Oryza sativa Japonica Group: one gene and its partners. The main gene of each other region encodes a partner of the protein of the gene in region 2 in a complex. Links are inferred from orthologs where the notes say so. Each region holds a gene or a part of one and is shown on either strand. Other genes may lie near its edges. The genes, in order: carbon catabolite repressor protein 4 homolog 4, carbon catabolite repressor protein 4 homolog 6 and probable CCR4-associated factor 1 homolog 11.

Region 1 (4,303 bases), on a different chromosome or scaffold from region 2:
TTTAAAAAAATACATCGTTTAACAGTTGGGGAACGTGCTAATGGAAAACAGGAAAGTCGAAATTTAGAGGAGTTTAGAACGGGTCTTACTGCAAGTTTTATAGTAAGAGTAGTTGTCACATCTAATTTTATCCCTATAAGATAGGAGGTGATATAAACAACACACCACATCTACACTACCTCCAGCATACTAACCCAAATAATTTTATTTTATTTGTTTGTCTAATCCCCTCTTTCTTTCATCTCCTTGGGGTTTGTGTCATTGTGGGGAGGTTGCCCCTTGCATGAGGGGTGACTCACCTTCTCTTTCTTCACTTATTTTTTCCACCTCATATCTAATCATATATAGTATTTTTAGGGGCAACATATTAAGCATTAGAGTACTTGCTCTTAGGCTGTGTTCGGGAGGTGAGGTTAAGAACAAAGCGGCACATTTTCTTATGATTAATTAAGTAATTACTTTTTTTAAAAAAATGGATTAATATTATTTTTTAAAACAAGAAACTTTTTGTAAAAAAAAATTATTTAGCAATTTAAAAAATATGTTTGTGGAATACGAGAGAGATGAGTTGGAAACCCAAACGGTCGAACACAGCCAGTGGAACTGGTTATCCATTATTAAGGTTTCTCGAGTTTAAGAAAAAGAACATTAGGATCCACCATTGCCCATGTCAAAATCCAAAACAAAAAGTGATACCCTTTGACATAACAAAGTTATGTGTTTGTCTGGATATACTTATACTGTAAATTAAACTTTCGGCTCAAAATCTCATACGTTGTATACTACAAAACAAAATCATTGACAAAGCTTAATGTAAATCGAAACAATCGTGTCCTAAATTACTAACATCACAGTTTAACTGAGTGATAAATAGATAATAGTCAAAGGGAAAAGGGAAATTATTTGTATGGATGAGTTAAATACTACTCCCTCCATTTCTAAATATTTGACACAGTTAAATTTTAAGCACATGTTTGACTATTCGTCTTATTAAAAACTTCTGTAAAATATGTAAAACAATATGTCTACATATAAGTATATTTAACAATGAATTAGATAATAGAAAAAGAATTAATAATTACTTAAATTTTTTAATAAGACAAACGGTCAACATATTTGAAAAAGTCAACGATGTCAAATATTTAGTAACGGAGGGAATATTACTTATGTATAAAAAGTTTTTTAAAAATCACCCTTTTGAAAACGCAGCATGAATAATTCATTACCTGTTTATAATGTGTCCTGACTGACTCGATAACTTATGGTGGTAGCAAGCACATTCCAATCCGACTAGAGTTAAAAGTGCCGACGAAAACATAATTTGGCTGAAATCCCTTTTCTTATCCCATCCGTGGCCATCTCTGAAAAGGAAAAGGAAAAAAAAAGAAAAGAAAAGGGTATTACTTCAAATATACTGTACACCGGCGCTTCTCACCGACAGATCGGGCCCAGTTATCAGGTTTGAATCAAAACGCTTGAGCGGTGGAGCCACAGCCGTACAGCCGTCGGCGGCGGCGGCGGCGGCGCGACCATCTCCTCGCGGCCAGATGCGCGTGTTCCGGCGCCGGAGAGCCCAACGAATCCGCCGATGCTAAAGCTCCAAGCTTCCCTCCCTCTCTTCCGCCTCCGTCCCCGCCCCAGCTCCCCTCCTCCCTGCGGCCCCCGTCTCCCCTTCGTCCCGTAAGCACACGCTGATCCCCGATTCCAAACCCCTTCCCCCCCTTTCTACTGTTCTAATGGATCGTGACACCGACGAGTCAGAATTTGCAAGCGGCGGATGAGCACCCAGGCGCAGCCCAGTTTCGCCCCTCTCCCCACGGCGCAATCCGAATCCGATGCAGGTTGTGTTTTTTCTTTTCTTGGTCAATCTTAAGAAGCGAGTAATACGATTTTGATTGGTGGTTGATTGCTAGTATTACTTGCAAATCGCGCAGGCCCAGGGTAATTTGTATTAAAACTGTTTTAGTGTTTGGGTTACAGGGGCAGCTGGGTACCAGTTCCGGCTGGTTTCCTACAACATCTTGGCCCAGGTAGGCTGGCAATATGCTGTTTTGTTCTGTTGAGCTGCTTATGGTTCGGTATTTTCTTTGGTGACGATGAGTGGATTACAGTATTCACAGAGGAAAGAAAACTAGCTGCATCTAACTATTTGATCTGTGTTGCAGGTTTATGTGAAGAGTGCGTTTTTCCCGCATTCTCCATCTGCCTGTCTCAAGTAAGCTCTTGACTGACAAGCTTCTTCCTAGAATTCTTTTGGGTTTCAATATTTTCTTGCGACCACTTTAGTGATTCTACTAAGCATTAGAGCAGTGGCAACACACTGCGGTGAATGCCAAATAATTTACTATGAAAGAAAGACATTACATAAATACTATGTTTTGTGTGCATTGCACATTGGTTCCCAACTAGCAGCAATGAGCGCAGCCTTAGTAGCATTCAGGTTGTACGAATAGATTTATTTGTCAACAGTAAGCTTTACGATATGATGTTTGTACATTTATATTTTCGGACAAACTTGAGTTCCATTCTCAGTTCTCACCATGAGTAGACCCAGCCCAAGAACAAAGTATAAAACTATCAAAGGATTGGTGCATCAGTGTGCTAGTTTCGTTTTGTGACTGTAAACAATTTTCCATTTCTGTTCTAGTCCCTGCTCTTCAATCATTCATTTGTGGACTGTATGCTTCCCCTCATGTTTGAGAAACAGGTGGAAAACTCGGTCTAAAGCTGTTCTATCAGAACTCAAGAGCTTCGAAGCTGACCTCATGTGCATACAGGTTGGACAGACTTATGACTTTTTAAGCAACTCATTTTTTTCATGTGGTCATGTACTTGTCATTGATAAATATAGAATGTGAACGTTTTTAAATCATATTATATCCTTATTTGGTTCTATATATGGTTTATGTAACATTCCCCAAGTTTGTATTTAGTGGATTGAAAAATACCCTCCAAGAAAAAACTGCAACATTGATTGGATCCTAGGATAAAGGGAGCATTAATCCCAAGTTCTCAACGTGACAGATTGGAACCTGATACACAAGGTTCCTAGTGCCAAAACACAACACAATGGTGGATAGTAGAAAGTTTTGGCTATTACTGTTTCTCAAAAAAATTATGTAGTCTTCCTCCATTATGCCCAACACAAATTAATTAGTGTTCTACTCATTCAGAAATAAATATTGGGAGGGTTACATATTACATATGATTGTATTGTTTCAATATTTAGTCATGACCTATATTAATGTGTACTTTTGACCCTTTTTTTTCTTCTTTGGAATATTTTTGTCTGCTTTTTTCGTTCTTTGGAACATTTTTGTCTGCTTATTTTTAATATGTGGTTTGCTCAGGAGTTGGATGAGTATGATACCTTCTACAAGAAAAACATGGAGAATTCTGGATATTCAAGTATTTACATTCAACGATCTGGGGACAAACGGGATGGATGTGGCATATTCTATAAACCAAAAAGGTATCCATATTGTTTCAAATAAGTGATGATTAACAATGAGAAGACAAGAATGGAAATTATAGTATGCATGAATGTTTCGATTGACTTGCAAATTAACTTCTCAATATCCCCCTTTTGGGCTATTCTTACTTTTACAGCATGGAACTGGTCCAGAAGGAAGTACTACATTACAATGATTTAGTGGAAAAATATGTTCATACTGATCATGTAAATAGTGATACATCAAATAATTCTTCACCAACAGAAGGTAATGGATCAGCTGCTCAACTTGATATTATCCTGTGAATCATAATGACTTCTTTCATTGGAGGCGACAAAAGGTAAAGTAGTGAGCCAGGCTAAACAAACTACTTACAAGTTACAACATACAAACTATTCTGTCATATCTTGAAAACAAAGAAAGTAGACAAATATTCAAACTCCACATCCAAACTCATGAAGTACAAATTCTTTGGGCCTCCACTATTATGATTCTACCTTTGGACCTTTATCATTAATCATATTCTAGCTAGGACATAGATTTGTCCAATTGCATTCCGTACTTATTTTATGTCTGCTGTATCTGTGGCTAGTATGATGCTCTACCTAAGTTAATTGGGTTAATTCAGTATTATGCTCTTTCAGAAGCAAGCAAGAAGGTGGATAATAACAAGCATGGAGATCCAAATGATCCACGTTTCAGATTGAAACGTGACTGTGTTGGTTTACTTGCCGCTTTCAAGCTTAATGATCCTTGTGATCATATTTTAATTATGGCGAACACACATATTTATTGGCAAGTAAAATGGCCAGAGTTCTCTATTATTCTCGTTTTGAAGATGTTTTTTAAGC
Region 2 (2,393 bases):
CAAAACTTCATTGGATGCCCCATCATCCTCAAAAGCACAAGAACAATTTCCAAGCTCATTTGAACATGAATGCGATTTTGAAAGCCTGTTTATCACTTCAGGTGTACATTGAACATCACAAGTGTCAGAAAAGGCACAATCTGTGTGTTGCAAAGGCTCTAGTGGTGATGTTAACTGAGTTGGCTCAGTATTGTTTTCTTCTTCTAGCCTCAGATTACTCATTTGATGAAGTGTATCAGCAAACTTCAGGGGATCACTGAAACAATTTGATTTTGATTCACTACGCATGCAATTATTTTGAGTAGACAAAGGTTCACTGTCTTGTTCCTTTTCATCGGGTCTGACCTTTGATATATCAAACAGTGTATCTGACTGGACATTGTTTCGCTCAAAATCACAAGTAGCTTTTCCAGAAATCACATGACCAGGAAAGTTTGCCAGGGTATTTGAACTGTTATTGCTACCACCAGCTAATTCTTCCCAAGAATCTTTAGATTCAGATGATTCATAAGATGGAAGAAGCTGACTTCTATCAACTATTTCACTCGAATCTGACTGAAGGGTCTCATCATTTACTGTCGTTGAAGCAGACGAAAAGTTTGTAACGTTAGTTTCTTCTACAGAGCTCTTTTTTATTACTCCATATCCTTCACTGGAGTTGTTAACCACTGAAGTTTCTTCACCATTAGTGGTGTTGGTATGTGCTTCAGCATCAGATGTATAGGCTTCCTTTGTAGGACCTTTCACACAGCCCATTAATTCTTGCTCGTGAGGATTTGTAGAGCTCTCTGGGTTTAAGAAAGAGTCTGAAGCAGTATCAGTCAAAGTTGGTTCTCTGCCAGAAAGACGAGAATTTTCCGTTACATTTCTTGCTTCAGGTTGAGGCTTATGATCATTTGGGTAACTTATGCTACCCTCCTTACTATTCGTCGTGTGAAAAGGCGGATAGAATCTGTTAAATACCAAAAAGCATCAAACAAAGGTCAGTTAGGTTAAAATATGCAGAAAAAATTGTCAAAAGAGGGTGTCTCTGATAAAGCAGAAGGTTCACCGAGCTGTGTTAGGACCAGTATATAGTCCCTGTGCAGTACTAGTTTGCTGCCCTGATATATTACTCTTCACAAGACCGGACAGATTCAACTGCATGATTATTATGTTGTGTGAGTTTCAGTTTCTCAAAAACAGCCATTTTCAAGTTAATACAGAACACTCTTTACCTTTTGCTCCAGCATAAAATTGTACAGAGGGCTCTGAATGAGGAAGAAATGGGTCAGACATTTTGACCTTGTTACATGTAAGCATGTAATAAAATGTCCAAGAAATACAGTGAACCAGATATGAATCTTTAATATAAAATGGTAAGGTACTGAATATTGCCTTGGGTGTAGAGTTGAAATCTCCACAAATTATTACTGGAGCATCATTCCATGTCTTTGATAGAGCATACACTCGATCAAGAAGCGTCCTTACCTGTAAGTATGACAAGAAAATTAGTATTCAAATAATACGTATGAAGGTGCATAATGTACTGACTATTGATGGTCAAGAAAGATGATAGAAATACTAGGTAATGCAGCTATACTTTGTTTCAGTGATGAAAGTATAAAACAAGATAATAGCAAAAGACCACAACCCACCTAGTCATCTACAACGAGAGGGTGGAAAACAATGCACGATCTCAAATGATGCCATGAAAGCATCAGAAAGCAACACGATGGAAGATAAGGTGTACATTGTTGCTCAGTACTTAAGGTCTAACAAGGTGTTATTTCTTTACCATGTTATACTAAAAACAAAAGTGCTTAGGCCAAGAGGCTAATTCTGGTGAAAAAAAAATCATACTATAAAAGTCTGAACTAATGTAGGAAATTAAGACTCACGAGTGACCACAACATAATACCTGACCAAGTTTGATGTCCCCTCTCTTTGGATTGTAAAGAACATGAGTATTGCATACAATAATTTGCTTAGCTTGTTGAGGATGGTTAGGGCTGTGAAACGAAAGAATGGTTATAAAAACATGGATAGATAATACCAATGTGGACATGTGGGTTATGAAATTTTCTCTTCAATAATAAAGGAACGTGGAATAGGAACTACACAAGCCAGAAACAACTAATAAAAAGGAGACAGCATAACACCATTGTCACAACTCACAACTGTGATGCATAGTTTAGAAATCTTGAAGTTTCAATTACCTAGACTCAGTTTGCACATTTCCTGGAATCACCGACTGAAAAATATAATGAGGAAACGATTAGCAGATATAGGCCATGCAAGATTGGCAGCATAAAGAAAGCTTCAATTCAAAGTGATCAGTAGTTTGCCCAACGATTTCAAGCCCACCTCTAAAACACAAATCTGTGCAACATTATCACGGAGATCAATCTTAT
Region 3 (3,318 bases), on a different chromosome or scaffold from region 2:
CAAGCACCTGTCCTGAATAAACTAGTAGCCACGGTGTAATCGACGAAACAAAATGGACTAGAAAACTAGTAGTATAATGCAGATTTGTTTGACTGTTTCTCTCATTGACCGGTCGGCTAACTGAACGAAACTAGCATGCCACGCATGAACTAGCACCCTGAACTCACACTCATCGTCTGACCTTAAAACGAGTCAATCTCACCGTTTCATTCATCATAAGTTCAGGACTACTGTAGCCTTTTTTTTTTCCTTCTTCATGCATAGGTGTGTTTAGTTCACGCTAAAATTAAAAATTTAATTGAAATTGAAACGATGTGATGAAAAAATTAAAAAATTTTATATAGGAAAATTTTGATACGATGAAAAAGTTAAAAACTTGTTGAAAAATTTGGAACTAAACCCGGCCGACCATAGTACACTAGTATGCACTTTGACCGAATGACACGCGCTGCTCGTTTGACTCCCAACATGCGACGCGATTCGCTGCGCTGCACACGGTGCGCATGGCCTTTTTTGCCTTTTTGTTCATACGACGCGTTTTTCTCTATAGCCGTTTCATCATGACAAACAACAGGGGAAGCCGCCCAATTTTTTAACGGTGAAAGTTTAAACCACCACACGAGAAAATCAACCGAATTTAACCAATCAATTAAACCATCTTTTTTTCCCTCTTATTATTACTGTACATCTGCCGAAAGAAATCCTTTCTTGCAGACGACGAATCAACAAATTTTACAGCGGAGGAGAGGAGATCGTATCATCTCGCTGCCACCAGCGGCAGCGAGGGTGTTTTGTTGCTGGGCATGTCCATGTCGAGCTCCAGGCCGAAGAGCACGCCTTGGTAGGCCTCGACGCCATGCTTGAGGAAGTAGAGCTCCCGCATCCGCCGGAAGACGTCCCAGGTGAGCAAGCTGTCGGAGGCGGCCTGGTGGCACCGCCCCGCCGCGCGCTTCACCTGCAGCGCCGCCGCCACGCGCTCCAGCCCGCCGTACAGCTCGCCGCCGCAGTGCCGCATCATGTGCTTCACGTCGTACACCTCGTCGCCGAAGAAGACGCGCACCAGGTTCAGGAACTCGGCCATGGACCTCGGCAGCTTCCGCCCCATGAGGAGCTTGACCAGGTAGGCGAAGTCGTAGGCGGAGTGGAAGGTGACCCACTTGACGGCGCCGTGGGAGCAGACGAGGCCCGACGACATGAGCAGCGGCGCCAGCGCGCTCGCCCTGACGCCGTGCCTGCGGTGCGCGGCGAGGTCCACGCCGTGCTCCGCCAGCAGCTGGACGGACTCGGCGGCGTGGCGGTGGACGCGCTGGTCGAAGTCGGAGAGGTTGATCTCGAAGGCGAGCGCGGGCGCCGCGGTGGGGGACGCGGCGAGGGTGATGCCCACCTGGATGAGGTGGAGCGCGTCCACGTTGCGGCGGAGGAGGTCGTACCGGTCGCCGGCGGTGAGCAGGGCGGGGTGCTTGGTCGGGCGGTGGATCACGCCGGGAAACTCCGTGTCCATGGACACGTACGGGAAGTGATCGATCGCGTTGCGGATGATCCGGAATTCCTCCTCCACGTTGTGCGCCCACACCCGGCGTATCTCCACCGGCGGCGCAGGCTGCCTCTTCCTGCCAACGCCGGCGGCGGCGAACTCCGACGGCACGAACGCCATGCCAGGCGGCGGCGGCTGCTGCTTCTTCCGACCGGCGGCGAACAACAACTCCGGCGGCGGCTTCTTCCTGGCGGCGACGAACTCTGACGGCATGTCTTAACTCAAAGATTGGATGGATCTCGGCAACGAATTCGAAGCGCGATGAGCAATTGGAATTTGGAAAAATTCGGACCGAATTGGAGATGCGAGTGCGTTTGCCTGTTTGGACTGCGGCGAGTGAGAGCTTGCGTTTTATAGGAGTCCACCGGCGCATCCATTCGCGGAAGGCGGCAGGAGCGTGAGGGGAAAGCGGCGTGGGGAGCTTTGAGATTTGTGCGCATAGAGGAACGGACGGTGGCCGTGCGTCTGCGTTTATGGCGTGCGTTAACATACGGGGTTAATGATTGGGGTTAGGGGCGCGCGTGGATTGACCGTGTTGCAGACACAGAGGCATCTGCCCGGAATTGTGGGTTTCTTTTTTATTATTATTTATTTGGATTGAGTTCAAGGGAGGTGGACGCATTCCCGGTTTGTTTAATTCCGCAGCTGCTGCAGCGGATGTGCGATACCGTACGTACGCATTCGGAATTCTGTACTAATATTTTATTAGTAATTTTTTTCATTTATAATTATATAATCCCTATGTTTTATAATGTAAGACTTTCTAGCATTGTCTATATTGTGAAACGGATAAAGTAGGAGTAGTGCTAGTATACTCTAGTCGGCTGGTAGAGTATAAAGTATAGGGAGGACACATTTCTGGTGGTGCTAGTTGGTATTTGGGTGCAGTGCACCCCGGCCAAAACAGAGCACTAATAAGCAGAGATGCTCCAAGTTGAGAGGTAGTACGCTGAACGTGGACATGCACCAGGTTCGGTGCATACATGTTCCCACCCCCTCCGTTAGGTCGGCTTGTTGCGGTAATTGCCGACGTGGTGAAGTTGCAAAACAAAACCAATGGAGCTTGGCGAGGCCACTAGTACTACTCCAGTAGACTAGTCATCATCACTCATGAGGCTGAGGCTGACCGACCGAGGAGCAGCAACGACCCGGTCCCCGACTCCTCCCTCCCGTATGCGTGCGTTCGGTAGTCCACCGGTAGTCCGGTAGGCCGTACACTAGTGTGCAGGCACCGCACCGTCGCTCTCACTTTGGCGGTGGCCATCTAGTACACGTTTTTCTTCCCCCATCCCTGTACCTGTACGTGCAGCTGTGCTGTGCTTTGCTGGAAAACCAAAACCGCAACTGGGACGAGGGAGGGAAGGGAACCTCGCCGCTGTCTCACGCCAAGCGCTAGCCGCTGCTCCATCCGCAGGTTGCTGCTTTCGCGGTCGCGGTCGTCGCGGGCCACACGCTGCCCGGCCCGTGCGCCGTGCGTGTGAGGTGAGCCGACTCGTTTTTTTGTTTTTTCCTAGCCAGCGGCGCGGGGCGAGCTGCGGTGCGGCGGCGGCTGAAGAGAATCGAATGGGATTGGGGGGGGGGGGGGGGGGGGGGGCAGATGCCGCTGCAGGCCTCCGGAATTGACTTGACCGTCCATGCGAAACACTTGGAGGAGTATATTCCGTTCCTTGCGTGTGCTAGTGTTCAACGAAATAGCCAGCCGGTCGTCGGCGTTCGCGTTTGGTGAGTCTTCTTCCTCCTGGCCGGTCCTTCTACACTACTCCCACTTATGCATCCGCGTCTTC

Evidence for each region.
Region 1: carbon catabolite repressor protein 4 homolog 6 (region 2) and carbon catabolite repressor protein 4 homolog 4 share a complex: the UniProt entries of both Arabidopsis thaliana proteins name them as parts of the CCR4-NOT complex. The link is inferred for Oryza sativa Japonica Group from reciprocal best matches to the Arabidopsis thaliana genes AT5G11350 and AT1G31500.
Region 3: carbon catabolite repressor protein 4 homolog 6 (region 2) and probable CCR4-associated factor 1 homolog 11 share a complex: the UniProt entries of both Arabidopsis thaliana proteins name them as parts of the CCR4-NOT complex. The link is inferred for Oryza sativa Japonica Group from reciprocal best matches to the Arabidopsis thaliana genes AT5G11350 and CAF1b.

Annotation. Positions count from the first base shown.
Region 1 is NC_089039.1:18,948,528-18,952,830, reverse strand, and holds the start of carbon catabolite repressor protein 4 homolog 4, read left to right. Parts: upstream 1-1,436; 5' UTR 1,437-1,588; coding exon 1,589-1,680; intron 1,681-1,761; coding exon 1,762-1,841; intron 1,842-1,980; coding exon 1,981-2,030; intron 2,031-2,165; coding exon 2,166-2,215; intron 2,216-2,707; coding exon 2,708-2,777; intron 2,778-3,350; coding exon 3,351-3,472; intron 3,473-3,609; coding exon 3,610-3,719; intron 3,720-4,096; coding exon 4,097-4,247; intron 4,248-4,303. UniProt on the Arabidopsis thaliana protein: Acts as a catalytic component of the CCR4-NOT core complex, which in the nucleus seems to be a general transcription factor, and in the cytoplasm the major mRNA deadenylase involved in mRNA turnover.
Region 2 is NC_089035.1:24,732,640-24,735,032, forward strand, and holds part of carbon catabolite repressor protein 4 homolog 6, read right to left. Parts: coding exon 2,347-2,393; intron 2,234-2,346; coding exon 2,199-2,233; intron 1,992-2,198; coding exon 1,901-1,991; intron 1,471-1,900; coding exon 1,378-1,470; intron 1,251-1,377; coding exon 1,218-1,250; intron 1,141-1,217; coding exon 1,052-1,140; intron 953-1,051; coding exon 1-952. UniProt on the Arabidopsis thaliana protein: Acts as a catalytic component of the CCR4-NOT core complex, which in the nucleus seems to be a general transcription factor, and in the cytoplasm the major mRNA deadenylase involved in mRNA turnover.
Region 3 is NC_089038.1:35,499,234-35,502,551, reverse strand, and holds probable CCR4-associated factor 1 homolog 11, read right to left. Parts: upstream 1,859-3,318; 5' UTR 1,748-1,858; coding exon 758-1,747; 3' UTR 637-757; downstream 1-636. UniProt on the Arabidopsis thaliana protein: Ubiquitous transcription factor required for a diverse set of processes. It is a component of the CCR4 complex involved in the control of gene expression.